2 linked regions of the Kluyveromyces lactis genome follow. The protein of the gene in region 1 interacts with the protein of each later gene in a pairwise test. Links are inferred from orthologs where the notes say so. Each region holds a gene or a part of one and is shown on either strand. Other genes may lie near its edges.

Region 1 (3,834 bases):
ATACAACAGTGAAATTAAGATAGCGCATTGATTGTAATTGATGAGACTGTTAGTGATATGCACACATTTATATATGTTAAAATATATACCAGCCGATATTTCAACACTGATCTTTCGATTATTAATTTTTAAAAATTACCTTAGTCCAAAATAGCTCTCGTTAGTCATTTTATTAAGGCCTTACTAAATTTTTCACCACTTGATTTGTCAATACGAAGACAATCTGCGGTCAGAACGAGTCAGCTCTTTAGCGGTAAATTGGAATGTCTGCAGGGGTATGTGCAGTGGTGTATGCAGTGGTATTATAAACGGTATATGTCATTAAATGATGTCCTGTACTATTGTGCCAGGAATCAAGAATTATTCATTCTCACTCTACATGCCTAAAATATTGCCTACGACGTCTTATGTTGGGTAAAAAAGATACGAGGTCACGTGGTGGTAAGTCAATATCATGTCTTGCACCTACCAAAATTTGTACCAAGGTTTACTGTTTCTAGAGCCCTCTTCCCATTCCTTCTTGACTGTATCTATATTCTTAACCTGTTTCAGCATTGGTTTCTCCTTTGCTGCAACAGTCTGTTTGGCCATTGCTGCCACTTGGAAGCTTCGTCTACGACGCATGCGACATTGCTCCCATCCTACAATGGATCCAAGTATGAAACCTCCTACACCCCAATTTGCCGCACGAGCAGGATTCTTATGGTACAAGAACATCACTGATCCGACAACAAACATCGATGTAAACCCTCCGATCCCTGCGTCTCTGAAACATGGAATTGACAGTACCTTTTCGACACTGAAATCTTTCACGTCTATCGTATTCCATGCCTCTTTCAAAGACGCACGTTCCTGCTCTCGAGCAGCCATACTACTGGACTCATTATTGAATTTGGGTTTTGTATCCTCAAATAGAAACTTCTGTCCTTTAGCATAATTCGTTAATTGCTGTTCCTCTGATATACTCCTTTCCACCTCGGTACTTGCTTCTTGCGTTTTACTCTTAGAAAATGGCCACACCATGTTTGCGCTCTGAATATTAAAATATCAATTCAACGGGAGTTTATATTACTTGACAGCTACCTAGGTTAGCTTAATGAAGATCTCAATTGCTGCTTACTTGTCAACGCTTTTAGCATCATCTCATCTTATAATCTTAGTTTGTCAATCAGTTTTCCTACAGACACAACTTTTTCCAAACCGAAAAATAATTGAAAAATATGGAATATTTGGGAAGCGTCAGTATTTAATCATAAAATCAGAAGGTACTTGGAAATTCTTGACCTAAGTGACTTTTTAAACAGTGAAACTATAGCAAGTCTCTGGAAATGCATTCCTAGTTTGTCTTGAACATATTAAACTGACACAATATGTACATTTATTTATCCGTTCTATATTTAAAAGTCGCTTTCTGCGATTCATATGTACTGTCGCAGTAGAAATGAAAAAAAGGCGACAGAATCCGATACTCTGAAAATCAGTAAAATAATGGTAAATTGAATTAATCTGAAACGATGAGTTGCAACAAAAATACAGTGGCCGTTAAGCATTTCAACTAGGCTTCTGGAAACACTGCCCTCTGGTATCAGCTTGAGTCTGTGGGTAAGTGAGTTGCTCTGCAAGTAGTATTGGATTCGAAAGCGTTTGCACGGAAGAAATTCGTAGAAAGGATAGGACATTGGTAAATCGTTCTCTTGAGAGAAATAGAATGGATAACAACCGACAAAGAAACGCGTATGGCAACTACATAAACATGTACCCGCCAGGTCACGAGCCAAGTAAGAATACACCATATCCGGTTGATGATCTGCCCCAGAATCATGTTGCAGATACGAATATTCCATACCAAATGTATGAGAAAGATACAAGACAAAGCTCCCAGTCAACGGTAACGACGCCAGTATCACGACAACCACCACCGGCGCAGCAAGTCAGCATACCCAAAGTGGATAACCCGCCTAGCAGTGCTAAGAGTGAACGGGATCTTTCAAATTACTCTTCCGAGGCTGTCGCGTTTTATGAAGCATATGACAGAACCGTCAAGGACGCAAACAAGTTTACGAAGGATATCCAGTTGAAATGGTGCGAGACACTGTTGCAATATGCGTTCAAGCCCACTTTCTTAATCAGATACAATATCAATGCTGAAAAGTTGAAACGGGATTTAACTGAGACCGAAATGCTACAGAATAAAAGGACCATTTTAGAGCATGCGTTACGCGTGTTAACGAAACTAACTCAGTTAAACTATTCACCAGCGATCTACCTATTAGGGACACTTTATTCCCACCACCCTTACGTAGATATTCCAAGGCCCATGGATATCGTGTCTAAGAATGATGCAAAAGCTCTAGACTACTATCGCAGAGCAGCCGATATGGGTCATAAGGATGCCATGTATCGGACCAGTGTCAGCTACGAGTACGGACGTGGAGTAGATTACACAACTGTGAGTGAATACGAAGCTTTAAAGATTTCACAGAAGTACTATGAAATGGCAGCTTTGACCAATGGACATTCTGTATCCATGTACAAGCTCGGGATGTTCTATTTGAAAGGACTGAGAACGAAATCTGGTGAAATCGTTATCAAAAGAGACCCTGTACAAGCTTTATACTGGTTTAGAATGGCTACCAAGGAGATCGAAATCCCACGAGACGATAAGGCTCATGTAGAACTGGAATCAGTATCGCCACAAGCGATGGTTGAGTTGGGTAAGATTTACGGATTTGAAGAGTTAGACGAATCCGTTAGACAAGAGCTTCTGAGAAACGGAATCACTCAAGATAAGGAAAAATCGATCAAATACTATTATAGATGCGCCCATGACTTCGATTATTCTCAAGCCCAATACAAATTGGGTCATTTTTATGAATTTGGGGAGATGGGACTACCTGTAATACCCAAGAAGTCCATTGCATGGTACGCAAAGAGTTCCATGAACAAGACCAAACCAAACCCGTTAGCCATGGTAGCACTTAGTGGCTGGTACCTTACCGGTGCTGAGGGGATATTGAAACCGAACGACGTAGAGGCCTTCAAGTGGGTGTCACGTGCTTCGAAATTATCTGACGGGAAATTACCAAGAGCAGAGTATGCATTAGCATTTTACTTGGAGAAAGGCCTTGGATGTCAGCCAAACATACAAGAGGCCAAGGTACACCACGAAACTGCTGCTCGTCTTGGCCATCCGAAAGCCATCGAGGCCTTGAGGAAAATGTGACCTTGCGGTTTTATTTTTACTGTCCTGCGTAGCTAGCTTCATTGTAATGATATGTAATAATAAGATTTGGTTAGAGTAGTTAGTTATTGGTATTCTCTAGAAGTTAAATTTCTGGCGGTGGTTGGTGTCGCGAAGCGACACCAACATAGCTTAAACTCGGACTTGCTCCCGCTAAGCGAACCATGCTCATCCAGGCCAATCCCCAGCTTCAACTGCCAGGTCCAGGGCCAGGGCCAGCATTACTGCCACAGCTCTTCGCTTCGCTCACATCATCCTCTACTCTTATTGGCTGAAAACCTCCAAAAAGAAAAGCTCCTAAGTCCAGCATTTCTTTTTTTCCCTTTTCCCTTCCCTGTCTTCCTACAATATCTTCTGCGGAACTGGCAATGTCGGAATCATTTCAAAGGTAAAATCCTCTCATATTGCCTGAAAATGAAAATGACTGAGGAAAAAATGACTGAAAACTCAAAAAAAGATATAATATGATATGTTTTCATAATTATATAATAAGAGATGAGCTTCAGGTTTAACTTAAGATACACCTTTGGTTTTGGTTCAGTGCTTCTCTAATCTAGAGTAAAATATTCTTTGATACACCAGGTTTCACTTTC
Region 2 (3,315 bases), on another chromosome or scaffold:
TCGATTCACTGCTAACTGTCTAACAATCTGAAATCCATAATGTACTGCAAGCTACAGACTTAGTTACGTTAACGATCAGTTCAATTTTTTTTTTTTTTTTTTTTGATTTTGTCGATGTTTGAAAAGTTTCAATGAATTATAGAGGAATTACAACTTACATTTGGTTATTGACAGTTAGTTTTATAATTGGTATTAGCATTTGTACAATTTAGTTCTTACTTATTGTTTTATAATTTATGTTATGTGTTTTGTAACCTGTTTCAGAGAAAAGTAAGTTCAATCAAGTAAGCAACAGCAGAACAAAATGTTAATTCCAAAGGAAGACAGAAAGAAGATCTACCAACACTTGTTCCAAGAAGGTGTCTTGGTTGCCAAGAAGGACTTCAACCAACCAAAGCATGAAGAAATTGACACCAAGAACTTGTTTGTCATCAAGGCTTTGCAATCTTTGACTTCCAAGGGTTTTGTCAAGACTCAATTCTCATGGCAATACTACTACTACACCTTGACTGAAGAAGGTGTAGTTTACTTGAGAGAGTACTTGAACTTGCCAGAACACATCTTCCCAGCTACTTACTTGGCTGGTCAATCTGGTGACCAAAGACCACAAGGTAAGAAGTACTAAATTGACTGAGACATGGCCTGACTTTGTGTGATGGGGAAGTTGTGTTTTACCCGTATTTTCTCATCATACTGTCAGTAAAACGTTGTTAATGTCAACTGTTTGGATTCGTATTAATTTACAATAAAGTCGTACAAGTGAGCAAGATGTGGAACCTCAGTTGTTATTCATTTCCTGAGGAAATGAATATCCTTGGATTCCTTTTTCTTAAATTTACTCAAACATAGTTGTCGGTTCTTTATTCAATATTCAAATGGGTTAACACGTTATTATCGCACATGATATCATTTTTATTTTCCAATATTATTATTACTATAAATCACATACTTATAAATGTGAGGAGTAGTATCCTTTTGTCATTTTACTATTTTTCTTGGGTCTATTGCAGTGTCGTTACATTGCTCCAAAAAACTTCACATAATCCATACTCTCACGTAACTGTATATTGTCTTTTATAGTCTCATAAAGCAACATATAGCTGGTGTTTTTTTTCAAGCCTGTACAGAAGCTATTTTTGGTTCCTCTCTCTGCTGCCGATCGTTTTGTATATTTTCATCGTCAGGGTTTTCGACATTCTTTCATTCAGTAGTTATCTCGGAAATTAAAAATAAATCCAAACATAAACTTTCAACAACACACTTAGCAAACAAGAGCTGTTAGAATGAAATATATCCCGTTTGATTTCTCGTGAATGGATAACAGTAGCACTGATAGATCTTAGCATTAATTAGAGTGATAAAACCCGAGTCATATACTAATTTGAAGCTGAATGTTGTGAATTTTTGTTCAATATAGTAGCATTCTGATTTATCACCCTATCATGGCTCCAAACAAAATAAATTACTCCGGAGGAGATGAATTACCAGTATGTATCGATTGAAGTACTTATAAGGTTAATGAGGGTAAGAGCTCCCCATCCCCCCCCCCCCCCCCCCCCCGATAATAATGTCATTGTCACTAACTTTCCATTCCTAAACACTTAATAATTACAGTTGTACGCGACCCCAGAAGAAGCGATGAAAGAGGGTAAAAGGAGAGAAGAGGTAGAGAGAAGACGCCGGCAGATGAAATATGGTATCAATCCAAAGCTGCAACAACAGCCAGTACCTGTGAACCCATCCATTCACCATGCACCTTCGTCATACTCACTGGATTCAAGTTATCAAAAACAATCACAACTGCCACAGCAGAGAACCATGATGTCTGGTTACGAACACGGAGCAGGACCTGGGCTACAAAGATCTCAACCAAGGGTACCGAGCTATGAACAGCCACCTGCACCTTCCAGGGTGATGGCTCAAATGCCTGCCCATAATGGTAGTTCCGCCAGTATGTCAACTTATGCTCCACCACAACAGGTTTACTATCAAAGTCAAACTGCAGGTCATCCAGTAGCAACAGTACCGCATTCTTCACCACAAAATATCTCAATAAGGGCCCCAAACCCTCCACCACCACGCTCTATGCAGTCTTCATCGGCACCTCAAGTACAGTATCGCAAAAATCAGCCACTGGCCGCATCTAGCGCAGGTTCTATAGCATCACAAGAGTCCCAACAAGAACAACAAGATAACTTAATCGCAACCGAGCTTTTCAACAACCATGACTTGAAAAACATGGGCAGACTCACGGCAGACGAACTGCATAATTTGTTACAGAATGATGATGGGTCGAAATTTTGTACAAGTTCAATTGAATCACTAATAAACTTGTTTGGTGGCTCTAGATTTGGTACTGTCAACTTAAATGAATTCATTTCGTTATACAAGAGAGTTAAAAAATGGAGAAAATGTTTTGTAGATAACGATATCAACGGCTCATTTACGCTAACGATGGCTGAGTTTCATAAAGCTGTCCAATCGTTGGGATATCTAATTCCTTTTGAAGTTAGTGAGAAATTGTTTGAATGCTATGCGGAATACTTTGACCAGCAAAGGCTAAACAAAGAAATGAAGTTTGATAGATTTGTTGAAACGTTAGTATGGTTAATGCGACTAACCAAAGTTTTCCGTAAGTATGACTTGCAACAAGAAGGGACTGCAACCATTGCATACAAAGATTTCATAGATCTAACTTTGTACTTAGGCAAATTCTTGCCACATTAATTCTAAAAAATGTACTATATGGTGAAGCAGATTCACCAGGAACCGTAATTCCTATCGAATAACAAATATTCTATTAATCTTTAATTATTCTACACTTTCATTATCCAGCTGAAGAAGATCGCGACACTTAGCTTGTTCCCTCGTTCGAAGCTAAAAAAAAACTACATCCTCAGACTAGAGCGATGAGCAGAGTCACTTCGAGCAACAAGAAAAAATCACTGGCATATGAAATATCTGTAGTGACATAAAGTACTAATTTTTCTATTTCAATACTTTTTTGATTTTTGTGTCCAGCGACAGAAAAAAATCTATAATAGTATAAGAGTAGTAAAACAAGGAACTGACCCCCCAGTGACTGGATTTATCGTGGAAGTGTTACATTTGTTGACGTTTACCAGGAGGCTTCGAACGGTAAAGCAATGAATTCAACTAAGAATGGCTGGGGTTCATCAATGGATCATTATATTGAAGCAACTGGTGTTGAATATGATTCCATTTCCTATGGACCAGCAAAATATGGTTCGAATGCAGATAACCTGGAAGTCATTAACGAGCAACCTGAAGAAGAATGTACTGAAGTGAAACCGC

What was found.
Region 2: the proteins of ACK1 (region 1) and PEF1 interact in a two-hybrid assay, tested with the Saccharomyces cerevisiae proteins (2 studies listed by BioGRID). The link is inferred for Kluyveromyces lactis from reciprocal best matches to the Saccharomyces cerevisiae genes ACK1 and PEF1.

What each region holds. Positions count from the first base shown.
Region 1 is NC_006039.1:1,307,588-1,311,421, forward strand, and holds ACK1 (Ack1p), read left to right. Parts: upstream 1-1,708; coding exon 1,709-3,223; downstream 3,224-3,834. Other genes in the region: COX20 (Cox20p), read right to left, coding at 466-1,023.
Region 2 is NC_006038.1:719,564-722,878, reverse strand, and holds PEF1 (Pef1p), read left to right. Parts: upstream 1-1,638; coding exon 1,639-2,727; downstream 2,728-3,315. Other genes in the region: KLLA0_B08173g (40S ribosomal protein eS10), read left to right, coding at 305-625; septin SPR3, read left to right, coding at 3,147-3,315. UniProt on the Saccharomyces cerevisiae protein: Calcium-binding protein that is required for polar bud growth and cell wall abscission. Can also bind zinc ions.